4 linked regions of the Arabidopsis thaliana genome follow. The protein of the gene in region 3 interacts with the protein of the main gene of each other region in a pairwise test. Each region holds a gene or a part of one and is shown on either strand. Other genes may lie near its edges.

Region 1 (6,852 bases), about 20 Mb from region 3:
GATAAGTTTCCATTTTACATCCTAAGCAAATATAAGAGTAATTAATTATTGAGCTAATTAGATAGATAACAAAAATATGTGACAAAATCATAACTAAAGTGCATAATGAATATGTTAAAATAATGTGCTATATTTAAAATAAATTTTTTTTTTAAAATGTAATACAGTATCATTAGAAATAACATTAAATGTAAAAAATAAAAGTGCATAGTTTTAAACTATTGAGGGTATGTTGCAAAAAAAAACAAAAAAACAAAAAAATCTTCCATATTCACTTTTGGTAATTTGTATAAAAAAGTTAGTCATCTAGTAATAATTATTTTAATTATTTCAGTTTTCCATTAATTATAAGGTCCATTAAAAATTAAGTTGTTGCCCCCAAAAATGTTATAAAAAATTAAGTAGTTATTATTTATTATTTTAAAATAAATTAGATAGCCCATAGTATCCAGTGGTGATTAAGAAATTTGGGGAAGTGAGTGAGGCTAGTAGGAGTTAAATGGGCTTATTCTATGCCTCAAATTGTTTTTTTTTTAATCATATAACGGAGAAAAGGGGAAAATATACGATTTCAACCCAAACTATATCTATCGTACATATTTATACGCTAATTAAACTTACCATGAACACAATTTTTAACGCCAAATAAGGACTATTTAAATGTGTTTCACGATATATCTTGTAGATCATGTTGTATTTCGTAATAAATTCATTGTTCAATGTTCAGGTAATAATTGTTGTCGTAAGGTAGTTAGAGAGTACTTCACCAAAAAAAGAAAGTAGTTAGAGAGTATAATTATATTAGTTCGGACTGAAATATGTTTTTACTCGTATATACGTATAATAATCGACCATTTTCAAATACTTTTCGTTTTGAAACAACTTGCAATATAACATAAGAGGATGACATAGCCATATCATTAGCACATACCACAATTATTAACACATAGATATCTCTAAAGTAGGTAGTTCCGTAATTAGTATTTAAACAAGATCATCTCCAATATTCCATTTTTTTTACGGACCATCTCCAATGTTCATTTTTATATTATTTTTTATTTAAGAAATTTTTTTTTATATAAAAAATTTTAGTCCATTATATATATCTAAAATAGAATTTTCTCTAAAATAAAATAAAGGCACATTGAATTATTCTCTATATTTTAAAATCTCCTTTAAAATAAAATAAAATATGCATTAGAAATGTTTTAAATCATATTTTCACTTATCCGCCTAGGCTTTTAACATATGTTTACTATTTTAATTAATGCTGTAATTTTGAAAATCCAAATAACTTCTTGAAAAAGACAAAAAAGTAAAATAGTGTCTGTAACCAATCACTTTTATAGATTTAAATTTGGTCGGATTAAGATTTTGAATTTAGAAAATAGCCTTGTATCTGTATCTAAAAAAAAAACAACGTTGCATGCCACAAGCACGTTTTCCTATTGTTTCTTATATCCTTTTTAATCAAACAAAATTGGAAATTTCGAGGTGATAAGAAAACCAAATACAAGAATCTTATCAAAACCTAGGTTAAATACTTACTAATTAATTTTGATGCTAATCTAATTTTGTAGCAAGGGTAATGACTAATGAGCCTGGAAACAAACTTCAGCTTTACAATCACTGTGAGTTTGTGACTGCAGCAGAAGATTAAAAAAGAAAAGAAAAGAAGAAAAAAACTTCACTCAATGATTGAAAAAAAAAAAAAAAAAACTTCACTCAATATATATATATATATATATATATATATATATATTAATATTAGCAACTCTAAGCACCAACTTCACTCACGTTATCATATGCATCAGTTTTTTTTTCTAAGAATTTTGTCATGCATCAGTCTTTTTCTATTGTTTTTGTAAGTAAAAAAAAAATCGAAGAATCTTACCAAAACCTACGTAAAATACTAAATAGTAATTAATTTATCTCACAAAAAAAACTTAAAACTATCACTCAATAACTTAGGGAGATTTCTCTGTATATTGTTTTAACTTTTAAGTAATAATTTGTAGACAAATAAACATGTAAGCAAGTGCAAGTTGTACGGCAGCAATATATAAAACGAAAGTTGGTACTAAAGACGAAATTATTGGAAAAAAAAATAATAAATGTTATTGCGAACAGCCTAGATCTTGACCACCGATAAAACAAGAGAAGAAAGTTGATTTTTGGGTTTGAATAAAGTGGTTTCAATTTTCATTAGGCCAAAAAGTAAAAACTTAATAGGCTCAAGTTTGTAAAATAAACTTCTAATTTGTGATGATCACTCTTGTGATGTGTTATGTGTTAAACTCCAAACGTTTTTGAATGATTGTATGTGTTGACTTTTAACAGTGTATGCGTTGACTAAGTGATGTACAGTAATGAGACGGGGAAAATCATACTAATATTTCCTTCCGACAACTTTATCTGTACTATGCATAGTACTTTTGAGACAACTTTATCTGAATTTTGTATAGTATACTTTTGGGTTGTGATATATTTTCTCGTTTGATTTTTCTTTTCAACTAAATAATATGCAAACCAAATCCGCTTTCGCCATAAGAAAACAACTAAAAGGTTAAATTTACCCGAGAGTGTATTAATGTTGAATAGCCATATAGGCTATAGTATGTATATGGCTGAAAATAGCTTATGCGATTTCTTGAAGAGAGAGAAAAGGTTAAATCCGAGAGTGTTTTACTCATCAATGTCATTGTCATTCTACATATACAACGTAACAAAGAAAAGCGAGAAAAACTTAATCCGACGAGTCACCAAGGTCAAAACACCTAACACCCACTTATACACTCATTACGTGGAAACATAAAAGATATACTACCAATCATCCTGCTCCTGCACTAACAATCATCTCGATGATTATGAGAGTAGGGTAACGAGGGAAACGAATTCAAGGGTAACTCTTCCCTTTGATCTCGTGTTGATGACGAAATGCTCCGGGTATTTTCTCAGCAGCATCAGCAAACCGTACCATGGTTTACCTTTTGCTTCAGGGATAGCCCAGTCTTCTTGTGATAGGTATCTTCTTACTCGACTGTGATGCCATACGTTTCCATACTCCTTTAATATCTGTCACAGACCAACCACTACCATGCATTAGCTGCAAAAATTGTTGATCATCAGCTTCACGATCTGCCTTTGATCTTCCCTCTCTCTTCTTCTCTGCACAAATGAAGCAGATACAATGTCGTGGTGTCACTATCATTCAATCTAAGTCTAACAAGGTTCAATCATCAACCACCACAGTAAAACTTATACTCAAAGTCTAGAACAAGCCTGAAATCTATTTAGTGACACAATGAAGTTAAGCTATCATGAGCAATTTGGTTTTACCTCCAGAGGCATATACTCCTTCATGTCCATCTCTCCATGTTTTCTTTCCACTGCCTCTGATATCCTCCTCTTCATCGTCGTCTTCATCATCGTACTCATACAACTCTCTACTCCGGACGCCATTCTTACCCGACCCGGAACCTGGACCCGAATGATAATTATGGTACGGAACAACAGTAGCCTTCCCTAAGACGTGGTGCCTGGGTCCCAATGGACCGCCTAGGATACTCCAAACCGGAAGCAGGAAGTAGAACTCCTTGTCACCAATCTGCAAAAGGTCCTGTGAATCGAGCTTGACGTTGGGGTTCCCAGGGAGATGGAGGACACCTTCAACGAAGCAGCCATTTTTGCCAAGTACCTCGAGAGAGAAGCGTCGTCTAGTGAAGTCATAGAAGATCCGAGCGTGGTTGCGAGAAATGTTCATCCCACCGCCGAGAGATGAGAGGTCGACGTCGACGGTCGATTTCTTAGAATTCCGGCCGAGAATAATGGAGTAAGACTGCATATAGTACTCGAAATCCTCACCTTGGAGCTTCGCAAATCCAACCTCTACATCGCTCCCGCTTCCAACGGCTGTAGCCATGCCGTGAAATTTCTCCGATTTTGAAGTCGGAGATCAAATTTGGGGTTACATAGTAATAGAATGTGTTTGGAAACCGGTTTAGATATGTTGTGGTTAAACCGTACAATGAAAAATATAAAGGCTTCTCAAGTAAATGACTATTATACCCATCATGTTTTCAGCCTCTCCACTGTCAATGTTACGGGCCTTACGGCGATCAAATCAAAACGGGCAGTTTGTTTCCACGGCTAACAAAAGAAACAGCTTTAGTTGGGCCTTATCTAAAAAGCATCAGCCCATTAACGTGAACCGGATCTTATGTACATAAACCCAGTAGTATGTAATATTCGGGGATAAGCATGACATTGACATGAATATGGATCATGTGATAACCGTAAGGCTTGAAATTATGATGATAAAATATGATGAAAAGTTCATAAGAATATCGTCACATTTTTGTCAAAGAAATAGCAAAGTCAAGAATGGTTTTCTTTTTCTAGAATCTTTGCTTTACATTTTGTTAAACATTTAATCAACCGAAAAAATCACAACGAGAAAAGAACATTTGCTATATTCCACAGTGTATTCGCAGAATCTTCCTTTGTTTTTCTTGTCAACAATTCAAATAGTCTCAATCCTCTTTCCACTTTCCAGGTGCAATTCATGCAAGAGTAAGGCTGGAACTTGTGATAGCCAAGCTATAATAAAGCAACTTCAACAAGCTATTCCACTATTCGAATAAAGACACGAGTCATCTATCTACTCAACATAATTCTTTACAGCCATTTGTCATCTAGCACGTGCCCATGAAGCCAGCCAAACATGAACCACGTCGACACACATCAGATGAGAATAACCGTTACGGCGTCATTTGCTGACCTGGACTGTCTAACCTATTGCACTGTCTCTCGAAGATGGTCGCCACATGTCAATCCCGGGGTCGTGTTTATGCTCGAGATTCGCGGAGTCAGATACGAACACAAGAATTCAAAACACCCAACGTGTCCTCGTCAAAGCCAGCAGGATCTCAGTGTACACGTGTTAACTGTTTCCATGCACGTGTTACACGTGGCGTCTCGGTACTTTTCGTCAAAATTTTACTTGATTTTTACAACCAATGGAAATAGAAACCAACAAAATAAATGGAAAGCGTTTATCGATAATCCGAAATTGTAGCGCTAATAAAGTTTCTTAACCTTTCTCTTAGTGAATTTTGAAACCGCCCATGTCCACTATCCTTATCGGACATGTGTCATGTTCCGAAGCCTTTACCATTCTCTTTTTAATTATCTCCGCCCCTTATAATATTCCTTTCTCATACAACAAAGTTGGCGAAGCTTCAAAACCCTTCAAGAGGAAAATTTTGCGGAAGACAAGAGACCATCTTTTTGACATTATATGTTTGTTGAATCTTTATCAATGGCAGAAAAGTTTGTAGAAGATGAGAATGTGGAGGTCGAGCTCGAGCTCGAGCTATGTCTTTCCCTGGGAGGTCCTTTCAAGAAAACGGAGAAATCTAAAACATTTGGACAATCTAACGCCGTCGGATTCGAGAAGGATAACGGCGTTAATCTTGACGGCAGAACGACGAATGTGACGAGGATAAAGGAAACACGGAAGAAGCGGGAGGCGAAGCAGCAGCAGAGAAGCGGAGAAGAAGGAGAGTGCAAGAGGATCAGAACAGAATATAACGGAGTTAGTAACGGCGATGATATGGATTTGAGCTCTATCAACATGTGTAACGGTTACGGGTCGGGTCGACTCAAGGAAAGCAGTAAAGACGTTACGATTGGGTCACCCATTTGCACCTCCTCCTCCGTATCCGATCCTAGCAGCTCTTCTCGCCAAGAAGGTATATAACAACCTTCTTTTAAAAATAAACTAAAATTGGTTGGTATATGTATATAGTTTTTTTTTAGTATATAATTCGATGTGTTGATTCTGTTAAAGAATCACGAAAATTATGCTATTTGCATGTAGATGATTTTGAATTATGGTTAATGTTCAGGTGGAAGTGGCGACATTGGGGCACAATCTGGCCAAACCAAACAGGTTAGATCTCCGGTTAACAACATTCTGACCGGTACAGAGCAAACCGTGCATAACACAGACGGTTCAAAAGACGCGGAGACCCAAGAATGGTCCAACTCTTCTGTAACCAAAGAGAGTGGGAAGCCGCCAAAACCGCATACCAACAGTAACGGTAACGGCAGTTTGCTTCCGTTTGCTCAGATGCCTTGCGTGACTAGCACCGGTAACGGTCCCGAGGGCAAAACCGTAAATGGTTTTCTATACCGTTACTCAAAATCAGAGATCAGTATAATCTGCGTCTGCCATGGAACGTCTTTCTCGCCGGCTGAGTTCATCGTTCACGCCGGTGGGACTAATGTGTCGCATCCGTTGAGGCATATAACCGTTGTTCCCTCAACTTTGTGAACTACAAATTTACATATTTTGTTACTCTTTTTGTCTCGTTTTTGTGTATATAAGTTTCACCGATGGACGTTTTGAGTTCGAAGGGACTCTCCATCCATGATTTTCTTAGAGTTTTGTTTTTCCTTGACATTTTTCAACTAATTTTACACTTAATTTGTTGCATTGTCTCTCTTATTAACGTATCAGTAAAAGTGAAGAATTCGTGTAGTTGTATATATATTTGTTTATTTATGCAATTTCATATGGTTTGAATTCGTCAACAAATATTCTCTAGTAATAAAGCAGTTAAAAAGTAACAGATTTTACTAACAAACAAACGAAAACGCTCAACGATTAGTGGCAACAAATGTAAATATAAACATTTTATGAAATTGCATAAATAGGACGAAAAATCCAAATAAAAAGAAATTCTCAGCACCTTCTTTCTCTCGCGCTCTTCGTCTCTTCCTCTGTTCTTCCTTCTGGTGAATAACCGTAGGAACCGCCATTGGAGTGGGTGTGGAAGAACTCGGAGC
Region 2 (9,987 bases), on a different chromosome or scaffold from region 3:
CGCAACACTCTCACCAAACTCATCCTGCAAACCACAGATCCTCTCTTGTTTCTCCTTAATACCTTTTTCAAACTCCCAATACTTAGACAAACCTATCTCATAAGAACTCTTCACAAACTCCTTCTCCGTCTGCAACGCCAAAATCTCTTTCTGCAACTTATCAATCTCCCCCATCGCCTCAGGCTTACTCAAACCCGAGCTCTTAACAACAACATTCGTAGAACCACCCGTGTACTTCATAGATTTCCTCGGCTGAAGCTTCTTCGTAGCCACTCTAACCGCACTCTTCAAATCCTTAACAGGCAGTTTGGGAACATTAGGGACATTAGCACCAGAAATATTCGATCTTTTAGCAAATTTAGACATATCAATATCATCATCCATGGCAAAGTTTGGAACTTGATCAGGAAAAACAGAGGCGATCGTCGTGTTAGCATTTTGAAGCTCTGTAGAAATATGATCATAACGTTCAGCTAAAGCTCTATAAGCTCTGTAAGATTCTTCAACGAAGCTAATGAGTTCTGGTCTCTTCTTATAATACATCTCTGCACGCTTCGCAAACGAATCTCCATCTTCTTGTAATAGCTTCAACACATATTGAACCTTCTCTTCAATATCTACAAATTCATATCCAAAACAAAAAATAGATCAAACCTCAAAGATCTCAACTTTTTAGAAACAAACACCTATATAAAGAGACATGGATTCAAAAGGAGAGACCTTGAAGGTTTTGTTCGAGCCATTTAGATTGTTTGGTTCGAATATGACTCGCCCACCACCATGAATACGCATTACTCGCAGCTCGTTGCAGCATCGTCGTAAAGTTTTCGTTTTTTCAACTCTTTTTGATCGTATTCATTCAAATTCCCAGAAAGATTGTAACTTTGATATGTGTGTGAACCAACAATCTCTCTCTGTAGAGTCTAGATCTTAATAAGAAAAGAAAAAGAAAGAGAAAAGTTTCGGTTTTTAGAGAGACCCACAAGGAAACTTAAAGGTCTTTTTTGGTTGTAAATCAAAATCAGAATTGAGGAAAGAACGTGCAACAATTGAATCTCTTTTTTTTTTCTTTCTTTCTTAGAGAAGAGCGATCATGGGTGGGAGCAAACTTCGCTCTTCTTTCTCTCTCTCTACCTTAATAGTATTTTGGTAAAAATATTTTAAAGACTATTAAAAAAAAAATTGTTACAAAATTTTCAATATTTGATTTATATGTACGAATGGTGTTTACACGAATGTTATAGTGCCAGCGTCGTGGTAGGAGAAGTCGGAAGGATTCTCTTCCGATGATTCTTATGAATCATCAAACGTTACAGAACATGTCAGAAATGTATGATTTTATTAAATTAAACTAGATTTTAACCCGCGGTATACCGCGGAGACAATTCATTTTTTAAAATTAATATATATAAAATTTTGTAAATTATTTTATAGTTTACTATTGTTACTAAGTAACGTCCTGCCAAACCCGTCCTTCCAAACCCGTCCACAAAAAAAAACTATTTATTTTATTAATATTGATCTTATTTATAATATGTTTATGAATCATTGTCAAAATATTTTAGTCGTTGCGGGACGTTGAACCCACACATTTTTCGCCAATTGGTTAATATATATGTTCATTCTTAAAATTTCGAATCACAAAATATGACGAAATTTTTTTTGAGATTTTTTTAATTTTATATATTATATAATAATGTTAATTAGTTTTGATAGATTAAACTTTTTATAAATTCAAATATTAATAATGTTTTATGAAGTTTAAATATATAAATAATAATATTTAAAAAATTAATATTTTTTGCCTTTTAGGTAATGATATAATAACTCTAAAAGCAAAAATTTAGAAGATTTAAATCTTTAAATAAATATTTTCATGTCTAAATAATTAATGTGAAGTTTATGCTAATTTTAAGGGATTGATGTGAAGTTTGTTTGGATTAAATTTGATTGATAATGTGATTGACAATTTAAATTAAAAATTTAATGTAAAATTAATTATTTTGGAAAAAAAATTTAATGTTAATGGCATTGAGTTGTAAATAAATCTAACTCTAAGATTTATTTGCTAAAATAGCTGCAAAAATGTATATATAGATTAATCTGACAAAGAATTTTAGTGGATAAAGGAATGTGAAAATGTCGTTTTGTTTAATAAAAAAGTTGTAAAGATGTTGAAGCAAGCAAAGAATTTAATCATTAAGTAATTGAATCTTAAAGAACTTTTTTCCCCTTTGTGACGGTTTAAACATAAAACCGGACACGTTTTGATGAACCGGTCAAAGGTCGGTGTGTAACGATCCGACCAGAACCTTCTTTCTTGTGCAAAGTATCTCTAAAACGTCAAACCTCATTATATAGAGGCCCATTTACTGAATTTTGAGAAAATCTGAAACTTTTTTAGATTTTGGACGTTGTGTAACGAATGATGAATTAGAAGCAAAGTTTCAAACCATATTCATATTTCTTGTTGCTAACATAATGAATCGTATGAATATGGTTTGAAACTTTGCTTCTAATTTATTATCATAGAACTCAGTCTCATCCAACCGCACAGCTCCAACTAAACTACAAATGTGTTTCTCAAACAAGACACATTGCAAGTGTCACACACACAAGTAAGATCATCAATTCACCAGAATCATCACCAATGAAGACACTTGAAATCTCTGGTCTGAGAAAACTTGTAAAACTTTGCAACAAATTCAACAAAACAACAAGATGAATTCGAATCACACTTTTGTTACACTAAAATTTCTAATGAGACTGAGTCCTATGATGATTATTAGTTATTTGAGGCATCACTAAAATATATTTTTGATCCCTAACCAAGAGTATATCGATAATCAAAATTCTACAATATTTTATATTCTAACTTTCCATAACGAGAAAGTTTATCGGTGACAAGCGTTACTAACCAGAAATGCAGTGAAGAGAGATCATACATAGTGAAAATCATAAAAATGAAAGCCTCTTCCATAGGCAGAAACTTACACAAACATTTGAGAATTCACTACTTAGACATTGTCTCTTGTTACTACCGAGTTAAAAAGATTTACATTACTCTCCTCACTCCATCAACTTCTTTGAATTGTTCCATCTCTAACCACCATACGGTAAGCTGCACAACACCATACATTAAATCAATAACTTATTTTTTAGAGTGATTTTGTAGATGATTAGATTTGTGCCAGAATTTTCAAAAAACAAACCATAAATAAGTGGTGTTTTTTATGACAGGTAATTTTAACAAATAGCATGATATCATGTAAAATATACAAAATAACATGTTATTTGTTAGAATTACAAATATACAACAAATAAACCAAATTTATTTACGATTCTGTGTCATCCATATCTTGCAATGCCAATAAATATGGACAACATACATGTATATGGTCGTTTAAAGTATATATTTTTATATTCTTTGTCTCAATTTAAAAACAAAAAAAAAATCATGTAAAGCTATCAACTCAAAAGAATGTAAAAAGAAAGGGTGATTAATTGGTTACCCGAGCCTAAGGGAAGTGTCGGAGCTCTCGGAGTCAACAGGCGCTCCGGTAGAGTTTCCGGCGTTAGTAATAGACTCCGACGACTGTCCTTCCTCGTACACAGCAGCGTTCTCCGATTCAGCACCACCGTGTGCATGCACATTGTTACATATCTACACGTAACCAAAAAAAAATATTCCAAATTTAACATTAAACTGATAACAAACATACAAAATTCAAAATAATCAAGACTATATATATATCCACGTACTTGCATGCCAAGTCGCTCGTTCTCTTCCGTTAGTTGCGTTCCCTGCAAAAATCAAGACAAAACATATCATTAAGTTCTCTAGCTAAGTATTTGCATTTTGTGTTTTTAGTGGCACCATGTGTTTTGAATTTCTCTAGAGATCAACTAACTACGAATGAGCAAATCTTGACATGAAGCCTCGACCAAACTATATATCAAACAAGAATTAGATATATATTCGTTTATGGTTCCCTGTTTCAAAAAACAAAATGAAGATGAAAAAGAAAAAACGCACCAAATCCATGCATGCACACTCGTAGACCTCTAGGACCCTAGAGACTAACTAGCTACATGGTTACCTTTAGTTTTAAAGACATTTTTAAATCGCGCTATATCACTTGGTTTATTCATTTATCTCACAGTATGATCAAACATATGTGTTGTAGACAACTGGGGATTAAATTTAGGGGTGTGTACGTTAATGGTAGACAAAAGAAAGGGATTTGTTATCAACAGAGAGGGTAAGACACATACTTGCTGCCTCAACCGCTTGTTCTCATCCATCAATTGCATTCCCTGAACACCAAAAAAAAAGAGAAGAAGATGAAAATTTTGGATCTTGAAACTGCCAAAATTAATATTGAAATCATCAAGTAAAGAATAAACGTTATTTTGGTTAATTATTACCTTTTTCTGAAGTTCGCTGATCTCACTCATAATCTTGTCACTCTGCAAACACATCTCGTATTAGTAAATTGCATACTCGTAAGCTTAGAGAAACTTATACATGGTATCAAGTAATTTTCTTAACAACCTTTGTTTCAATCACACGCGTCAAACCAGTTTCAAGGGCCTTCTCTAGCTGCTGAAGCTCTTCAATGTCAAGTCCTTGAAGTTCCTCTCCTCTCATTTGCCTATATATGATCATGTAAACACACAGTTAGAAAATGATAGTGGTTGATCAAAAAAAAAATTAGTTAGAAAATGATAGTTAGTTCAAAAGTCATAGAATATACATATATAACGTACCTTAGTCGGTGGCTCTTGTCCGCAATTTCTTTACTCATTCGGGCGTGATCACTGTTCTCAACCAGCTAACAGAATAAAACATTGATTTAAGCTCTTAATCATATCCATAATGATCTAAAGCTCAACTCTCTACACAGGACTACTCTACATGACTACTACATGGATCGAGTCTAATTAATCATATGCAATAATATAAAGTTTTGTACCTATTAATACAAAGTTTTAAGAGATTCTTGGTCAATAAATACAACAATCTAAAACATATTGGTAATTCAACGGAGTAATACTCGATTTTGCAAGTTACAGAAATCGGGAAAGAAAATGTGTGGTCGTTTCGAGAATGTAGCTAACCTGTAACTCAAGAGATGGCTGATCAAGCTTCTCCAAGTTCTTTGACTGCAAGTTATGCCTCTCTAGGACTTCCTTCATGCTTCATAATATAAACACATTCCAATAAATAACTTATTATAAACAACTATACTGTTGATATTAACAATGTGCATATGTAAACACCGACAATATACCAAAATCTAAAATCAAAAGATGCAAACCAAATCCACAAAACACATTTAATCCCAAACATGTACATTATTTCATGTTAACACTATCGTTTTCAGTTACATATATACACAATTATCTGTGAAAGTGTGTATGTCCCCGAAGATAGGAACTGAGCTGATAACTAGTGGGTCAAAAATCCAAAATCGTATCTCTGTAATACGATAAGTCATTTTAGATCCCTAATATCAATAATATCTCTCTAAATGACTTTTCCCAACACTAATAAAGATTCCAACATATCTATACATATACATATATATATATATATTATTTTTAGATTACTTCTTCAAAGGGAAAGCTTTATACATCCACACATATAGATACTTCCTCATGTTATGGTACCCACATATTTCTATATAAATATGACATTGACGGCTTAAACATATCATACCACAATATCTATATACATAGATTTATACATGGTTGACACAAATACCTACTATAGAGCATGTATTTATATACTAATAATATACATATATGCATATCCAGATTTACATCTTTTTGAATATTACCGTAGTTAGATACCTTAATTTATCTAAATACAGAGTTTTACTATACACTTTATATATGTCATTTATGGTCATGATTAATGTTTCTAACAACTATTTTAATTATATAAATAGTTAGTGGTCCTATAAAGATTGATACAGTAAACTCCTATGTATCAGATATACATCTAAAAACTCTTTAAAGTTTTTTGTCTGGATCTAGACAAGATTCCTTCGATGAGTTATGAGAAATCTATAGAGAGGGAAGTTAGAGAGAGAAAGAAAGACCTGGAGCTACAGAACTCGAACAGTTTTCCGGTGGAAGAGAAGATGATGAGAGCGACATCGGCGTCGCAGAGAACGGAGAGTTCTTCAGCTTTCTTGAAAAGCCCTCTTCTTCGTTTCGAAAACGTCACTTGTCTCGCCGTTGCGTTGTCGATCTTCCTGATCTGAATCTTTTCTCTCGCCATCACAACGAACAAAAAAACCCTAGAAGCAAGAGAGAGAGCTTAGGTTTTGATTTTAATGGATCTTTCGAGAACGGGATTGATTTTGATGGATCAAGATTCAAGAATGAGAGATGATTAAAGAGAGAGTAAAGAGAAGAGATGGAGGAGGAGGAAGAAGAAGCCAGAGGAAATAAATTTTGTGAGAGAGAGAATTTTTGCTAAAAAGGGAGACTTTAAAGAAGAGAGAGAGAGTGACAAGACGACTGAAATGGAAAGTAAATCGTGTTCTTTTTGCTAAATTTAGAAGAATAAATATGATTTCAAGACAGTAAAAACCCTAGTTTTTGAAAGATTTGAAAGAAAGAACACACTCAGTCTTTTGTGAGAAGAATTAGATCTAGTCGATGAATCAACAAGGAAATTAGAGAGGATCAAAAGAAAAAAAACTCAAGAAGAAGAAGAAAACTAAAGGAGAAAAAAAGCTAAGGGAATATATTTAATTTTCCACCTCAAAGGTCGAGGAGAGAAGAAGACATGAGAAGGTTTTGATTGGTGAAGGATGAGATATTTTCAGGGAGAGGTTTATTAATTTTATAATACTATCAAGATGATGGGGTTTCTTAAATGATTATTTTTGGAAAGAAAACGATATATATTATATTTTTAGTTTTAGTTTTTTTTTTGGATATTGGTCTGTGTGTGGTGGTTATTGGATATGGTGAGGTAATAGGATTTATAAGTCTCCAATGAGATGAGAGAGAGAAGAGAAGTGTGTGTTTGGGTCAGTGGGGAATTTCTTTTTATAGGGAAGCATAAAATGAGTTGTCTCACTTTGTTCACTTATACTCCTTGTAACTAATTGGTTGGTATTTACTGCAAAAACTAACTAGAAGACCTGAAGAACATCAAGGGCTACAACGTATTTTCATTTTTGTAAATCTACGTACTATATGGTAATGGTACCTCATAACAAAATTCAGAAAGAACAAAATAATATCAACTGTATATTATTTTTATTTATGTAAAAACATTTGGGAAGATGACATTTCAGAATTTTTCTGAGGACAATGTTTTGTTTTTACTGAAAGAAATAAGTTTGTGAGTTCGGCCTTGGTTTGTAAGAATCCAACTCGGAAATGACAAAATAATTTGTTAATTTCAAAGACATTAGTGCAATAATTTTTGAAAATTTAGTAGTCAATCATGTGGCATATAACTTGTCGAAAAATTGTGTCCTTAAAAAAAGAGGTTTGTAACCTAATGAACCATATCTACTCAGATACATGTAGTCCATTATACAATTACAATCTATGCACTAATTTGGAAAGTTTGTCATGCACAAATAAATTTTGTTCAATCCCAGTAACAATTACACACACAATGGGGGTATCAATCATCACTGAAGTATTTTTTTATAAAACCAATTGAATATGTAACTCAAAATAAAATTTAAATGAAATCACTTTCTTACGAGGTTATTTATCATTTAACATTTTAATACATAAGCTCAACATTACAAATCACATATACTTCACCAACGTCAACAACAGAACCAAACATATGATTTCAATCGCCACAATCATCATTCCATAGACTAAAAAGCAATTTACAAAACCGTGATTAAAGGTAAGAAAATAAAATTAAAGGGTTTTTAAAAATAAAATAATGTTTAAGCATACCTTCATACGAAGAAACAGTGAATAGAGGGACCCTCGAGGCACGAGCCAGAGTAAAATAAAAAGTGTCGACCACTAAAATTTTTCAAAGGGACCCAAAACCAGACCCGAAGCAGCCACAAGAAATCTGATTGGGACACGATCCATTGTCCGTACAGAATTTTATTTCTAAATTAAAGTTTTACCCAAATAAAGATACTCCACGCAACTACTACAAACCCATTCTTCTTCTCTTTATTACTCCAAGTTTGCAATAATCTACCCTTCAAGAATACATGTGGCTCGTATCACTCACCCCCTATTTGAGTATTATTTACTCTTCCGACGAAACTCTTGTGTTGTATTATTGCGAATTTATTATGATACTATATGAATTATGAAGTTGCAAACGGTAAAAAAGTCATATGGTTGATGTGATTAATACGGTGTTAAATATAATTATGGTTTGCGTTAATTTACTGTAAACTCTTTTCTTTTCTTCTTTAACTCTTTTCTATCTAATTGGGTAATCAAGCAAATATAGTTGAATTATAATTTGAAATTTTTGTTGACAACAAAATATTAATATGGTTTGCGTTTGTGTTCTACGAGTAATGGAATTATGGAAGTTTTTAAAACAAAAATGTAGTATTTTTTGAAAATTTTGATGACGTATATTAGAAAACACTAGAAAACAAAACCTTCTAGTGGTTAAAGTTGCTAGGAGAATAACTATAAGAGAGGTGGCCTGATCGATATTACTTATTTCGGCATAATACATATTCCTTTCTAACGTATTTTAAACAAAGAAAATCGTTGAGTTTTTTTCAGCTTGGTTTGGTTTCGAAAAAAAAAAAGTTTGTTCACTCACAAAATTATTATCAAGTAATGTTTATTCATATTTGTCATGGTTTGGTAAAAGTAGATTAAATTTGGTAGAACATCCATCAATTGGCGTTTGGAACCGCATGAATCATTTATATTTGAAATTGAATAGTGTTTAGAGGCGCACGTGACACAACTGGTGAGGTCTTTGAGTTTTGATTGGTCAAAGTGTCAGAGTTTTTATGAGTAGACGACTCGTGACCTTTCCCTTAACAGTTCCAAGCCTCTCTAATGAAACATTGCACCTAACCTTTTAGCCATTTTAGGCTTCTTTCTTTCTACACAGTCCCTACACTACACACTCTCTCTGACACATCAAGGAAACTACAGTCACCGTTATCATAAAGCGGAGTCCCTAATGGGCTTTTTATTATTATTGGGCTTTTATTAGGCCCAAATTTTCCTTACGAGTAAAATAAGTATTATTTTGGTTCAGTTTCTCGCCGGATCCTGAAAATGACGACGGCGGCGATGACTTGTACGAGACTGACGATATTTACGGTGGCCGGAATATTACTTCAGATTATTGGCCTCTCCATTTTCGTATTCGGTTTCTTCCCCGTCAAGCCGACTCTCTCCGGCGTCAGGTACTACTAAATCAATAACATTTGAAGTCGAAGAAGAAGAATCTACGCTCTATTGATTTGTTTATTTGAAATGGCAGTGGCTCGGAGAGCTATCGAGATCCATTCTGTGATTCTTCTCTGATTTCGAACGAATCGGAGCTTCATCATCCAGAGAAACTGAGATTGCTGTACCAGGTATTTGTCTCTTTTGTGAATCCAAAAACAAATGTGTAAAGTTCCCTTTTGAGTTTGATAGTGGTGAATTTGTAGGAGTTATCTGGAATCTCTTCCAAATATGATCGACTGATTTTAATGGTATGTTGCACTTTGTTAAAATTTTGATTTTGATCTTTGTGAGAGAGTGTTTTTGAGGATGTTAAAGCGATGCTAGTTTAGGTTATTGATGGGCTACCTGCGGAGTTCGTTCTTGGGAAAGATGGTAAACCTCCAGAGAAGGTTTTGAAAGAGTCTATGCCTTATACTCAGTCACTGTTAGCTAATGGAGATGCTATTGGTTACCATGCTAAAGCAGCTCCTCCAACTGTTACCATGCCGAGGTTAAAGGTGTGTGTATAGTTGTGATTAAGTGGATGATCACAGTCTAAATGAATTT
Region 3 (8,343 bases):
AGAGAGGTAGGTGTGATATGCAAATGAGAAGCTAAAAGGCTTGCCATTGATGTTTCTAATCCGAGAAGTCAATGTTAAGTCGCCATCTACAGCAAGCGAAACCCTAAGACGGAACTCGAAACTGCAAGGGAATAAGCATAGAATTTTAGAATCTCTGTCAAGAGGAAAAAATGAAGAAACAAGTGATGAGGAGATTACCTATGAGGCCATTGCTTTAAGTCATCTTCTGATGGTTTCAAAAGAAGATCAACAAAGGATTTTCCTAAGGATTCGTTTGAGTTAAGTGGAGGTGGGTTCTCATCGATTACCCAAATTTTGTTCCTTGCAAACCCATGTTGATCCAGTGATCCACAATCCCCAAACTTCACAAACACACACACAAAACTTCAATGAAAAAGTGATCAACAAAAGATCTCAGTTCAGTGAGCGCTACTAGTAAATTTTACCTGCGGATAACAAATCTGAATCCCTCCACGCATTGATTTTGGGGGTTTGAATATAGCCTAACAAATTCATAACAATATAAAAATCAGATTTTTACTTTTTATGTTTCAGATTCTTCACAATGTATCAGGGTTTTGTAGTGAGATCAGATACCTTATTGCTAGTGAAAAGAAGCTCTTCGCCTAGTTCATTCCTCCATGAAATCACTTGTCCTCCATGTAAACTTATCTGGAAAATCAAACACAGAATAAGCAAAAGAAGCTCGAATTTTTATCAGACAAGAATGGTTGGAGAAAAAGTGAAGACCTTGGCAGAAGCACCATGTGGGTTTCTGAGAAGGACTTGGTCAACGCCATTCCAATCTTTGATTATCTCACTTGCTTCTTTTTGATCCCACACTGTTGCATATTGACCCATTTTCAATTTTGAAAACCTCAACAACTTACACACTGACAAGTTTTCTGATTTTTTTCCACAGCCAAAAGAGAAGAAAAAACGACAAAAGAGCTTTTCTTTGTCACAAAAATCTCATGAAGACGATGTTACTAGATCTGGAAATCTATAGCTTCTACACTCTTCACTCAAGGAAACAAAAAAACATTAAAAAAAAGAGACAAGGAAGGAGAAGAAGAAGAACACATGGCGATAGAAAGAGCAAAACAGCTATCTTGATGTTTAGTAAATTAAATTAAACCCAGATAACTCTCATTTTTGGAAGTTTTTCAATATATATATTATATTAATAAAAATCTCAGGTTTGCTTTATAAAATTGGATCTGAAGAAAAGAAAAACTAGTTCTTATGGAAACAGTTTGATGAACTTGAGAGTTTATATTTAAAGGAAGAGATTAAATACTTGTTGAATTTAAGGAGATGGACGAGAGAGGCTACGTGCATTGCTTTCAGATAGAAATGGGCGGAAACAGAACTCAACTTCCGTCGGGATACAGATGAAACTCTTTATTCTCATTTATTTTTTAATTTTAATTACTAATGTATTTTATATTTTAAAATATTATTTATTAATGTCAAACCTGTCATTAATGAATTTAAATAAGAGATACAAACATAATTTGGTGTTAGAGGAGAAGAATAACACCTTAATTAGTGGAACTAGATTCTTGGTGCACGAGGATTCTCTGATTATAAAATAAAATAAAAAAAACTATTGCACTTTCTTAATACTTAAATGCATAATCATTTATACATATTTAAGAGCTTAATTATTTTTCTTTATTTATTACAAAACTAGTTTACTTTCCTTAATCTAAGACATTAAAATAAATTTTAGAACAAAAAATAATCATTTGTAAAATTTGATCATTTCTGGTAAAAGAGTAACAAAAAAGTTACTTCACAATTCCATGTATGATTAATTGTTTATTACAGTACTTTGTCTCATGATTGTCTAATAAAGAAAACAAAGGACTGTGAACTGTATAGTATTATAATAAGATATCTGTGACATTGTACCACGTGTACGGTATATAATCAACGGTCAATATGATTTGAATTTTTTTGAAATTGATTGCAGGAATTTAAAATAGTCCAACTCCAACAACATACGCATGGCCCAAATCGAAAAGTCATGTCTATTTCAATCCAACTAGATAAATTAGTTAAATGAGACGAGAGAGTTACGTTCGTTCTTTTCTGTTCACAACTTCGTTCATAATACAAGAATCTCTACGCTAAGAATTTCATTGAAGAGTTAAACTTATAATCCAAAGCCAAAAGAGTAAGGGTAGATAGAAAAAAAGAACGCATTTACATTCTTCTTATAACGTTGTCGTCGAAACGTTTTTAACCTTACTTTTATAAGCTTTATTAGTCTTCTTCAAGCCTTATAAAAGAAAAGAAAAAAAAGGCAAGTTAGAGAGAGCGAGAGATTTAGCAGCAGGTAAAGGAAAGAGAGACAGTGACAATTGAGAAGTAAACGGTCACTAAGGATCTGTAGACCTTTTGATGGTAAGCTCTGCTCTGAGATGGAGAATGCCATTGATGAAGTATTGACTATCTTCCGCTATAAAAGACGTCCATGGGACCCCAAACAGGTTTCTGTAACCTACTGCTTTCCCTCCTGTGAATGTGTAGTTCCCTTTGTATTTGCTTATGAAATCCTCTGCGGGCTTTGACCTTGCCGAGAATTCATAGTCCACTCCGAAACTCACCGACCCTTTCTCCTGCATCCCTAGGAACAGCCCGAAACAGTGGAACGAGCTCTGTTGGTCCATGTTGCAGTGAGCTGACAGGAAAAACCCTTGACCTCCCAAGTGAAAGGCCTGCGAATACACTCTACCCGACGGGAACAGTCCCCCACATTCTTCTCTTTTCAAGTCTAGGTAGACTACACACTGCGGTCTAGGAAGCTCAAACTCGACCACTTTGACGGGTCTGTATTTGTAAGCCCTCTCTATCAGGCGGCGGTTCAGGGATGCAGATTCTTCGGAGGCTAGGCTACGTTGTCTGTGTGGGGCTTCTGCTTTGAAGAAAAGAGCTTCTAGAACAAGCTTTGATGCTATTTCATGCTCAAAGTCACTGCAAGTCAGCACTTTCTTCAGCTTTCGGCATGTCATGAATGGGAAGCGGATGGAGAGTGCAAGGCGTGACCCGAGAATCTCTCTTCGCTCTTCCAAACAAGGGTATTGCGCCCTTGCCCACTTCAAGATAAAATCATAAACTGCATCCTCTGATGCAATTTGGAGTTCATCGCTTGATAGAATTGCCTCAATTCCAGCCAAAGGTAGAGACATTACCTCCTCATGAAACCTGGAAAAGAAAGTTTAGACATGCCTTATAAGAATCGCCCCACCATCTCATGTGCTCTTGATTACAGTAATATCATGGATATGTAGTTTCAGGGGCTTTACTTGGTAATATCCTTGTAGCGGGCTGCAAGGAACTGTTTTGCAGCATCAGTTAAAGGCTGAACAGCTTTGGCCATTAGAACACTAGAGGGAAGCTCGAGATAGAGCAGGGCAGACTCTGGAGTCATAGGCATATTACGGAGAAGTCTACTGCAGTACCTCATACAAGAGGCAACTTCAAACTTATCAGCAGCCATCAACACATCTAATAAGGCAGGTGCTGTGGTGACAGATACCGCATTGCTATACATAAAGTTTAAAAGCTCCATCAAAGCAGCTTCCTCTGTAATACACACAAAGTAGAGTATAATATGTAAATCAATCTAAGAATCTCCAAGTTACCTTAACAAACTCAAATCAAAACCATATTTTGATTCTGTGGACCTAATAGAGAACGGTACAACTGTATCTAGTGTGATAAATCAATAACACGTTCAGATAGCTAATGTTGCAATGGCGTACCTGATGCATTAATCCTAAGGGTGACATGCCTTTGCTCAGATTCCCTCATTCCATTGGAGAACAACTATCAACATTTCCGAGAAAAAAAGAACACAAATGGATTAAAGAGTAAGGTACACATGAGAGCAAAAGCAAAATCCATCAACAACCTATTTAGATACCTTGTAAAAGAAAGGGCTTTTGGCAGCTAAAATAGGAGAACTAATATGAAGTTCTTTAACCCTAACAACTGTAGAACAATCCATTCCCCAGTTTGGCTCACTAGACGTTTCCTCTTCATCACCTAAACATTAAATAAATAAAACACTTCTCAGAACAAAACAAGCTCCTTTGTGTACAGCTAAAACTTCGCCAAAGGATGTTGCTCTATAGTAGTACCTGATAAAGCTTCTTCAACCATTGCCTCTCCTCCTTCATCATCAGGATTCTCACCACCAGGACATCCATCCATGTCAGGTTGTTCATCAGTTAAAATCTGCTCCTCAGGACATGCCACAATGTCTGAAATCGTGACTGCAAAATGAAATCACAACATTAAAACCCAAAAAGACTTGGACTTCGACTTCAATAACAAAAACCCTAAACCATACGAACAAATTACATACCACCAGATTCCTTCTTGATATCTTCTCTTCTTCTCTTGCGATGACGAGCCCAATCAGCGATACTCGTACACCCTTCAACTTCAGACCGAGAATCCGAAGGTCCACCCATGATCTCGATCCGAAGCAAACGATCAGAGAAGTTACTGTCGTTAAAAGCGAATCCAAAATCGCCGTCGGAGGAAGAACCATGACGAGTGAAGTCAGGATCCATTTGGGTTTTGGGATCGAACAGATCCGTATTCTCAGTAGTACCTCTCATCACCTTCCTTCAATTAATTTCCTAAGCCGGAGAAACTGATCGGAGAGCTTTTGATTTTGGAAAGAGAAAGCTGAACGTCTTTCTTTCAGGTGAGAGATAGACGAAAGGCTCAACGAGACCAAAGTGATGACTGATTGTCTGTCTTCTTATCTTTCTATGAACCGGTTTATGACTTGGTTCGGTTTGATTCGTATTGATGAACCACCAATATTCCTCCGGTTTTCTCTCGTGACATTTTTTACCTAGTAGCTTTGAGCTGCTGGTACAAAATTTTGAATTTCATCTAGGAGGCTAGGAGTCAGATTTGTACGTGTAAAAATTAGTTTGAATTTATTTGTTTTGTTCATAATTATTTTACGAAAAACCCGTGAAAAACAAATCTTTCAAAACTATTTTTAGAACGTTGAAATTCTGGGCTTTAATTCTTGAGAATAGAGGTGGGTTTTAAAGTATTCCATATTCGTTTGAGAGAACTAGTGGGCACTATATGTGTTGTGTGGTCAATTTTTTGGTTTTAAAGAGTTTTAACTTCCCCCATTGACAACTTAACTCGTTAATGCTTGTTACTATTTCATTTTGGAAAGCCAACGCTTAAATTAAAAAAGAAAAAACAATACTAATGATGTTAAAATCGTATTTGTCTTCTAATGGTTGAAAACTTTACTACCGAAATTTGAGAGACTAGTGTTCGAATCTGCTTACTATGATTCTGATCATGATTTATCATTATAAATGCTTTTAATAACAAAAATATGTGTTGCTAGTTTGGTATATTTAGTTAGGTTTTAGCTGATTTGATGTGTCAGAGTAATTGTCTAAATTTTCTTTTCCTTTTGACATTTTGGCATAATGACACAAATTAATTTTGTTTTTAGTATGTAGAATCTATATATCACTTCGTCAACTTTTATACGATTATAACTAATGAATGACATTTTGTTATATTTTAAAATTTAGTAAATTATTATAGCTATGAAAATTGAAAATAAGTGACCCTTGAGAAAATGATAAAATACACAATAAAATAGCTGTTGTCCATTACCCGTAAACCTAACACTGCCAAACCTGACAAATCCCATCACGAAAATAGGTCCCAATTTTATACAAGTACAGAAACATAATTCTTTAAAATAATTTACAACAATAATTAATTAATAAAACATGAAAAATCATTATGAATATATGTGGAAAAAAAAGGAACAAAATCATTATTTTTATCCACCAGGAACAGCAACAAGACAACCTCCAGTTTCAGAATCCGACCCATTTACATGAGATATTGTGGGCCACATGTTGAAAAATGTTCTTATATTTCACTGAGAGATAGAGAAGGGTTCGTTTGTTCAAATAAAAGTATCTGGGCCTCATTTTATAAATTTATAATTAACAGAGTACCAAATTGCAAATAACAATATTCCTGAAAAACATTTCCAGTAACTAAAATTTAAAAACATTACCGTATCATCATCTTCATAAAGCCGCCGGCGATTTCTCTGTGCAAAAACAATCCAAAAGACCAAGACTTTCACAGACCCATTTGCTTCTTCATTGCAACTAAGGAGCAATCTCGAGTCTTGGTTCGAAGCAAAACCCAGTAAAGAGCTGAAGAGGGAACTTTTTAGTAACAGGACATTTCTGAGACCATCTCCAATACTTGAGATTCATGTCGAACGTGAGAAGCGCGGGAGATCCATAGCTTTGAATGTAAACCAAATCATCCGTGCCACTACTCGCGAAAACCTCGTCGAATTCACCAAAACCTTGGAAGAATCTTTGAGGCATTTTCGCCATCTCTACCCATTCCTTCCCTTTCAAAACCCAAATCCCTATCCCTTTTATAACCTCTGGTCGATCATGTTTCCCGATTCCTCCGACAATCACAAGCCTCTCTCTTAGATTCATCAATCTCCCGCAGGTTAAAGAACACGGCATTGGAATGAAACTCCTCATCAAGATTCCGCTTGACGGTGATCCTATCGAGGATAGATTCGAAGCGATCAAGCCGTGGCGATGATCTGAGCCTCCCGTTGAGTATATCATGAAGTAAAGAACATTGTTGCAGATCACACTCTCGTTCCCTCCTCTCCATCCGGATAAGACATCGTTTACTAATGTTGTCCAAGTCATTGTTTCAGAGCTGTAGAGATGAATAGAGAGATCCCATTGGAAGAAATTCCCTGGAACTTGCTTCGATTTCACTATCGAGACTGAGTAACTCCGGTTTGCGCGGTTTACTGCTTGGTTCGCTCGGTTTACGGAGGTAGACATTGCCGTGTAATCTGTCGATTTGTGACCAGGAGGTTCAATAAGCGTCCTCCATTGTTTGGTAATTGGATTTGAGACATAAATCTTGTTTCTGCAATCATTGTCCATGAAGCAAACCAATCCACAAGAGGAAGCAACAAACCAATTGGATGTTTCGATACAAGGGAGATCGAAACTGTACCATTTGCGGATAATGGGGTCATAAGCATAACCAGATGGATCATCCGTGGTAGTGAACATGAAGTACCAAGGCCTTTGGGAAACCGAATTGTTGGAGAAATTACATAAGAACCTCCGAGAAGATACAATCTCGTTCCATCTTTTGCAGACAGTACCAGCTCTGAAGATGCTTGCAATGGGTAGAAACGAGAGGATTCGTTCTAATAAATCGTCAGGGAGAAGAGAATCCATTGAAAAGGTTTCGACTTTGGCTTCATCGTCGCTCTGCTCACGGTATGATTCAGCTTCAGGGACATATGTAATGTAGCTGTACGGATAATTGGTCCAAGACGTTTCTGCTTCCATTCTCAAGAGCCTCTGAAACAACGATACAAAAAATAAATAAATCCATTACCAAGAAAAGAACACATAAAGATTTAAAGCTTTACGAATCTGAATCCCAAATATCATTCATTTCAACAACACAAAACAACAATACATAAATCAAGAGAAAACCTTGTCAATCAGATTTGCTTTAGCATACATGCATAATGGTAAATCGAAAATGCAGAAGACGAAGAAGAGAGATAGTATTAAGACTTTGTCTAACATTGCAATACATTTTTCAGACAAAAGAAAAACAAAAAGGAGAAAGCTTGTGTCATCCTTTCAACGTCAAGATTCCACTGATGACAATTAATACAACAAAATTTAGATGTTAGGTATACAAAAAAAAAACGTTCTTAATAATGAAATTAGACTATAGGCAGACATCAATCAAACATCTGATAACAACATACATCATCAATCATAGATTACGAACACGGAAGAGATCAATGAACCACTCAGAAATGAAAGCAGAGAAAGCGACAGTGAAATCAAACAGAAACCCATCTCGATTCGCTACACACCTTCGACTATGGAGACTCTGAATCTTCGGAATTCTCGAGATTCAAACCGATAAAAAAAAAAAAAAAGTATCGAAATTTAGAATAGATTAGCGAGAGGAAATGCGGGTTTCGTGGATCTCGGTTTATCGAAAAGAAGAGGTCTTTCTAGAAACAGAAGAAGGAAATGAAATGGGTTTCTCGGGAATTTGGATTTATCAAGAGTAAGAATGAAGTAAAAGGGTTCATCAAAGAAAACGAGAGCGAGAGCGAGAGAGATTGAGATTGAGAAAAATCTGGTTTTTATAGAGAAGAAGAGACGTTTCGTGGTTCGATTGTAAATAAACACGAATGAATGATACAGACAGATAGAGAGACGAAAGGGAAAGACAAAA
Region 4 (6,696 bases), on a different chromosome or scaffold from region 3:
CTTGTCGCCAAAACCTCTGGATAATGTTTTGACAGAACCTTCAAAGGGTAATTAGGTTTTTACTTCTTAAAGACAATCACTATAAGTTAAGATTCTATTAACAACTAGTCACAGATCTTGGAAGAAACCACATAACCAAAAACCATATTACCATTTGGAAAGCAGCACGAAAAGAATGCAACTCGAAATTCTGCAGACCAGCATCTTCTCCTAAACTGCTCCATCTCTCAGCACTCTAAGAAAACACATGTAATTTCTTTACACAAATGGGTCACAGAGAAGAAACAAAATGACTCAAAACAACAATGTTGCAACATCCAAAACAGATACAATAGTGGACTATACCTGACAAGCTAAATCACGGGCATTTTTGCCAAGGGAAAAGCCCAAGGATCTGAGACCAGCGCTCATCGGATAGCCACATTTGGAACAAGAATCCTCACTACTTTTTTCAGATAATAAGTTGTAACAACAGCCAATGCTCACTAATGCTTTAACTTCTTCACACTCCATAAAAGTCCTGACGAAATCAAGTTGCATATTGGTTCAGCTTTCACGGGCTAACACAGCAATCAGGACCAATACTGTATTCAGAAGATAACAGATATCGCAAATGAATAATTGCAGCAAACATTTTAACTAACCTTAGCATTGTAACTGATAGATCTCCACATGCATGAAGGCCAGCAAGAACAAGTGAACACGATCTGTTTGCATCACTTGATGATTGTGATCTGCTTTGACCTTCTTCATTCAATGCACTTCCACTAGAATCCGTCTCATCCTTCTCCAGATGAACATCAGTCAAGGCCTTCAACATTTCTGTGGATAAAACACGGCATGTAATCGTCATTGGAACATCTGGGCACTTGTTTCCTGAACTAACAGAGAAGAGGTTAAGTAGCATTCACAAGTCTAAAATACCAGAACTGTGCACAAAGAATTAGGAAAACAATGAGCGACTCTTCAAGCTAAAAATGGAAAGAGACATCTGATACTTGGTAAAGGTTTGAAATAAACTTATAATGAGCTAACCCCTTACCCAGATTTACGCATCTGTGCTGCAAAATGCTTTTTTATGCGTGCTGCGCGTGCATCTGTTACCTTTCCATGATGAGAGGAAGAATCGATTGCAACCACTGAGTGCTTATATTGGAAAGAGAGAACCTGCGCTAGATAACCCTGGACAAAACATTTACCAATGATGTTATTTAACACACTTTAGGAAAGCTATAATATACTACAAAGTTACTAAAACTCTGATATGAAAGAAAAACCATCACTCGAAATATTCCTTAAACAGCCAAAAAGAGAATTCACCAATGCAGACGAGAAAAAGGAACCATGCAATTAAGATTGATAGTTAAACAAGAGAAAGGGATTGAAGATACCTGGCCAGCACCGACATCAACAACAGTAGGAGCTCCAACACTCTTAACAACTGAGCTAACAACAGAGGAAAGAACTTCAACCTGCATGATACCATAATAAGTGACCTACAGATCCATTCAAATGAAGTGGCCAGTATAAGATACATTTGACAAATACCTTACGTTTAAACAAACATAAGTTTTGTACTAAGAAACTTTTATATAAAATGCTATGAGCTGTTAATGATCCTCAATTTCATGTTTTACGCGTGAAGTGGCAGATAACTTTGCCAGAATTTGATGGTAAAAAGACTTGAACAGCTACAAAAAAAATATATACTCTCTTTTGAATTTAAGGTTCTTGGATTGGGATTAGTCACCAGATGCAATCTACTGAAATTCCTACCAAAACAAGACATCATTGAAAGACACGACTTGCACCTCTGGATAGTGAAGTGTGAAGATAAAAATGTACCTCATGTTTTTTCTTAAGATTCATGCCCTGTGAAAGAACGGTGCTAAGAGGTACCATATCCACGTCTGCGAGTATCTGCCAACAGTCGAAAATGATTAAACTTTATTTAGTCTAGGATCTAAAAATACTAATCCTGAAACAGCACAAACAGGTAAAGAGAATACAATACCGCCTGTAAATCCGCTTGCTCTCGAGGAAACGATAGAGACCTCAACGTGTGAACAAATTTCTTTAGTGAAGCAGGCCAGTGATCCTATAATCAAATACTATAATCAATCATCTCCTTTCCAAACTAAAATAAAAATCTACCCTTTCTATCAAATATCTCAATCATGAAGACTGAGACCAGAACTTTACCTGGACACCACCGGAGGGAATAAGAAGAATATTTTCCGGCTTCTCATCCTTTAAGCAACTCATCCATTCCTCATTAACAGCTTCCCATTGCTTATCCTGGAATACAAACCCATCAATCAACTCATAACCCAACTCGAAGCTGAATTTAAAATTGTTTCCGATAATCGATCATACCTTGAAGAAATTGACAACGTGAGCATTGATTAGGAAAGAAAACGGTTTAAGGAAATCGATAATGGCTGTGATCCATTCTAGGGTTTCGGCTCTCGTTTTGCAAGAAAACTTATTGCTCTTCATTATCCCGATGACCTGAGTAGCAGCAACGATTCTAGTTTCCGCCGCCAAAAGCCAACCAAACAGCAAACACTTGCTTTTAACCGTCAAAATGTTTTCTAAAAATACCTCGTAAATTTTAATTTATTCAATTTAGCCCACATTTATTTATTCTGTTGTCAATACACCCATATTGTCACGTGGCCGAGTCTTCAAGAGACTCTAACTGCACCGGAAGGTTTTGACTCATGCCCCCTCCTACACTTCCTCTCATTCTCTTGTATTAACACTCTACTTCACCAAATACAATTATCACAAAAATGATAGCAATACACAGTAAATCTTTTAAACCATGTTCCAAAGAATGTAGCAGAAAGCAAATACTAGTATTCGTAATATTTAAACTAAACAACTGGTTACATAAATCCAACATGAAAACTGACTACTTAAACTTAAAGCAACTTAAAGTAGACCCAAATTTTAGTTACTGATGTTTGTCTTGATCGTCGCCGTCTTCTTCTTCTTCACCGTTTTCATAGTCATCAACCTCTACTGCGACTTGAGGGAAGTCTCTATATTCGCTACACATGTTATGACCATATATGATAACATAAAAGGTCCTGTCGCGGTCATAGATGAACTGCAAATACTTGCCATCTTCGAGATTGTTATCTTTTACAAAATTCTCCCAACCAACTGTAAGAAACACTTTCTCTCCTCTTTTCTTCATCCTAACCGTCCAAGATCTCCCACTATAGTCCAGGAGGTCCACAGTTATTGGAAATGGTGCTGGGAAGTATTCGTTGAATCCCAAGGGGATTTCCTAATCAAACATTTATATATAAAAAAACAACTCTCAGGAGACATTCCAAGAGCAGCAACGTAGAAACAATGGACTTGCTATTTTTCACTTTTCAGCCCCGCAGAAATGTTTGGTTCAAGCAGCCTATAACAACACCAACACATAAACTTCATTCTAAATCTAGCAAGATTCAGTAAGCTTTCATTTGCTTTTTGCTAATTTAAAGCTAACAAAAGCAATTAAAGGACCTAAGTTATTAGCTCCATGAAAATGAACTAAAGCAATTTACCCTAAACCATAAGTCTCCAAATCAGAACACTAAACACATATTTTGAACTTGTTGAAATAAGAAAATAAAAAAGAAGAAAGATAGAGAGCCATGCTCACCAATGATTTAGATGACTTTTCTGAGATGAAAGGCTTCATAAATTGAACCTCACCAGTGTCAGCCATGGAATAGAGTGAGACCAAATGTAGCTACAAGCAAAATCCAGAAATTGAAATGAAGAAAACAAAGAGAAGTGAAAGAGAGAAACCTTGAAAACAAACACTTTTTGTAATGCAGAAACAGAGAGAGAGCTTCAATGGTCCCGAGTGGACTATTTCAATTTTCTCTGTAAATCAAAAAGATGAAATGAGGAATTGATGTCATAGTCAAACAACTTGCCACCTTTTGACCAATCACTGCTTTTCTATTCTACAAGGCCACACCATACAAAAAGTACAAAACCAAACTCTTATTACTATTGGGCCAAATTATACAGCCCAATAGCCCAATAACGAGCTGAGACAAATCCTATCGACCTAGAAGATCCAACTTAAAACCCTAGAGTTCTCTCCACTATTTAAAGACCTCAAATCTTTTGATGTACGACTCAGAATTCTTCGAAACAGCGTCTGCTCTAGAAATTCAGTGTTTTCTCGAAGCTTCATTACTATTTTCTAGGGAAAAATTTAGAAGTTATTTTGTCTATTGTGTTGTGTTTTCTTAGATTTAAAGTCGATGTTTTACTCTTAATAAAGAGGAGAGAGCGGTGATAATGATGATGAAAGATGATTCCATAGAACAATCCAACTCTGACCATCATTGATGATCTTACCATCATGCACTACCATCTGAATCTCGCTCTCCCTTAAATCCTTTTCTTTTAGTATGAAATCGTTGATTTTGTTTTCTCAGAATCGGATTTTGTCGGATCTTTTAGTTTTGTCTCAATTTGCCTTAAATCGATTGAGAAAAATTCATCATTGGTTGATTTGGTTCTAAGTATTTCATACCAAAGTTCTGATTGTTATTTCTGTTGTTAAATTGATTTGGTATTTTTTTCTTCGTTTGCGTTCATAAGTCATAATGCAGATTTAACTCATATCAACAGGTTGATATTCAATAGCAAAAATTTGGCCTGAAAGAAGGAAAAGTAATCCCCTCAGAATTCAATTCTCATGGACTAAATTAATCTAGAAACGTAATTGTAACAATTGTCTAGAACTATTTTGATGGTAGTTATTCCGAAAACGATTAGTTCTGCAACATGAACACTCATCTTAATTAATCACTTTCGCAGATAATCGCAAAATAAGTTATAAATCCATAAAATTATGAAAGATATTCTGATTTGTGTCGATGAGGTTCACACAGATGTGGTATTTGAGGATGACTTTTAGAAAAGGATTTTATTTCATTGGAACTCAGAAAATAATGTAAACTGGGCCTATTTAGTTAGCCGATGACCAAATTTTCTTTAATGTCAGTCAAAAGCCCGTTAAGTAAAAACCTTCAACATAATTGGTGCTTTCACTTTTTCCATCAGTGGACGGGCCCAAAGCCTGCTTTTCTGATTTACCTGTCTTTTTAATAGGTTGATTAACGTCTCTTACCCTTTACGAGAGCCCATAACGGCTAGTTTATTCTCTGCGATCAGACGTGTCATCATCGTGGCGGCCCAGTTACATCGTCTGCTCTATTTTCCGGCTACAGAAATTGAAATTTTGTTTTAATTTGAACCCCAAGGTTTTGAGAATCATTAATTTCTTCCCACTGTTTCTACATTGTCCATAAATATCCACGTTTATAAATTTAACAACTTTACAGGAAGAAAGAGGAATCAAATCTTACGTTGTGAAGTCTTTAATAAGCATGGGGCATTTAGATAGATCTTAAATTTATGGGGAGATAACAGAAATTTGGAAAACTAGGGTATCAGTGAAAAATGGTCAAAATCAGAATCAATTTGCAATACTTAAAATTATTAGGGATTTTTCTATCCACTATGTATAAATAAATCGCAAATTGGCAACTAGCCGTTACGATCTCTCTATCTCTCTCTCTTTTAAAAATTCAAAAACTTAGGAACTTTTTACATTCACAATCTTGCAGATTCTTGCATATTTTCTTTCCTTTAACGAGCGCAAAAAATCTGAGATTTGTTAAATAACCCATTCTGATTTCCGGAGTGATTTTCATTCATGGCGTCTTCTCCAGCAAAGAACAAGATCTCTGTTTCTCCTTCTTCTCTATTCTCTTCCTCTTCGCCTTCAATGCCTTCCAGACCAAACCCTAAGCAAAGAAACTCGGAAACCGGAGATCTGATGCGTCGCAGTTTCCGAGGCAATCCATTTTCGGCAGATCCGTCCCGGAGAAACTCAATCGGTAGAGAATGCAGTAATCGTGTTGAGATTGGTGATAAAGAGAATCAGAACGACAAGGATCAAATCGCTAATGTCGTCAAAGGTCCAACAAAAGGTTCCAAGCATTTCATGTCACCGACAATTTCAGCCGTTTCCAAGATCAATCCATCGCCGAGGAAGAAGATCTTGTCTGATAAAAACGAAGTGTCTCGATCCTTTGACAAATCCCATCACCAGGTTCAGGTAAAGTCGTCTGTCTCGTTTTCTGATGTGATAAGCATCATTGGGGAAGATAAAGATGTAGACCAGATTTGCATCGATGAAACTAAGCAGCTTCGTGAAGAGGAATCACATGATATTACTGTCAGTGATTTCGATGAGATTCTTGAGAGGAAGAGTAATGATAATTCAAGCTTCAAGATCAGTCCTCTTCCTCCTTATGTTCCATGCACATTTCCTGTGTTTGAGTCTCATGAAGTGGATCCAGTGGTGGCACCTTATGATCCAAAGAAGAATTACTTGTCACCGAGGCCTCAGTTTCTCCATTATAAGCCAAATCCAAAAATTGAGCATCGTTCTGATGAGTGCAAGCAGCTTGAGGAGCTTTTCATCTCTGAAAGCTCTTCTTCTGACACTGATTTGTCTGCAGAACGAGAGGAGGAAGGTCAACAAGAGGAGGAAGTTGCTTCTCAGGAAGGTGTAGTTGCAGTAGAAGAACAAGAAGATGATGGTGAAGAGCGTTTGGAAGCCGCAGAGGAAATTCTGGATGTTGATGGTGAAGAGCGTTTGGA

The links.
Region 1: the proteins of POB1 (region 3) and AT3G07260 interact in a two-hybrid assay, tested with the Arabidopsis thaliana proteins (one large-scale study listed by BioGRID).
Region 2: the proteins of POB1 (region 3) and SVP interact in a two-hybrid assay, tested with the Arabidopsis thaliana proteins (one large-scale study listed by BioGRID).
Region 4: the proteins of POB1 (region 3) and AT1G16640 interact in a two-hybrid assay, tested with the Arabidopsis thaliana proteins (one large-scale study listed by BioGRID).

Annotation. Positions count from the first base shown.
Region 1 is NC_003074.8:2,306,774-2,313,625, reverse strand, and holds AT3G07260 (SMAD/FHA domain-containing protein), read right to left. Parts: upstream 4,018-6,852; 5' UTR 3,923-4,017; coding exon 3,340-3,922; intron 3,169-3,339; coding exon 2,996-3,168; 3' UTR 2,643-2,995; downstream 1-2,642. Other genes in the region: AT3G07255 (nuclear transport factor 2/RNA recognition motif protein), read left to right, coding at 5,300-5,753, 5,910-6,337. UniProt on the Arabidopsis thaliana protein: May play a role in the control of plant organ development. Does not show transactivation activity in yeast.
Region 2 is NC_003071.7:9,576,719-9,586,705, reverse strand, and holds SVP (K-box region and MADS-box transcription factor family protein), read right to left. Parts: upstream 7,060-9,987; 5' UTR 6,290-7,059; coding exon 6,108-6,289; intron 5,201-6,107; coding exon 5,122-5,200; intron 4,836-5,121; coding exon 4,771-4,835; intron 4,656-4,770; coding exon 4,556-4,655; intron 4,471-4,555; coding exon 4,429-4,470; intron 4,318-4,428; coding exon 4,276-4,317; intron 3,805-4,275; coding exon 3,763-3,804; intron 3,665-3,762; coding exon 3,513-3,664; intron 3,122-3,512; coding exon 3,103-3,121; 3' UTR 2,805-3,102; downstream 1-2,804. Other genes in the region: NET2D (Kinase interacting (KIP1-like) family protein), read right to left, coding at 1-617, 721-814; AT2G22530 (Alkaline-phosphatase-like family protein), read left to right, coding at 9,265-9,395, 9,473-9,569, 9,645-9,689, 9,771-9,938. UniProt on the Arabidopsis thaliana protein: Transcription repressor that inhibit floral transition in the autonomous flowering pathway, independent of photoperiod and temperature. Acts in a dosage-dependent manner.
Region 3 is NC_003074.8:22,791,998-22,800,340, reverse strand, and holds POB1 (POZ/BTB containin G-protein 1), read right to left. Parts: upstream 4,920-8,343; 5' UTR 4,638-4,919; coding exon 4,379-4,637; intron 4,287-4,378; coding exon 4,152-4,286; intron 4,057-4,151; coding exon 3,935-4,056; intron 3,838-3,934; coding exon 3,774-3,837; intron 3,595-3,773; coding exon 3,315-3,594; intron 3,214-3,314; coding exon 2,388-3,213; 3' UTR 2,288-2,387; coding exon of another isoform or gene 2,272-2,287; 3' UTR 2,017-2,271; downstream 1-2,016. Other genes in the region: AT3G61610 (Galactose mutarotase-like superfamily protein), read right to left, coding at 1-121, 199-362, 447-503, 598-672, 751-861; HWS (Galactose oxidase/kelch repeat superfamily protein), read right to left, coding at 6,192-7,439, 7,578-7,673.
Region 4 is NC_003070.9:5,683,797-5,690,492, reverse strand, and holds AT1G16640 (AP2/B3-like transcriptional factor family protein), read right to left. Parts: upstream 3,969-6,696; 5' UTR 3,731-3,968; coding exon 3,665-3,730; intron 3,299-3,664; coding exon 2,960-3,298; 3' UTR 2,766-2,959; downstream 1-2,765. Other genes in the region: AT1G16650 (S-adenosyl-L-methionine-dependent methyltransferases superfamily protein), read right to left, coding at 1-38, 152-235, 346-520, 645-881, 1,043-1,182, 1,392-1,496, 1,846-1,920, 2,015-2,098 and 2 more; AT1G16630 (uncharacterized protein), read left to right, coding at 5,744-6,696.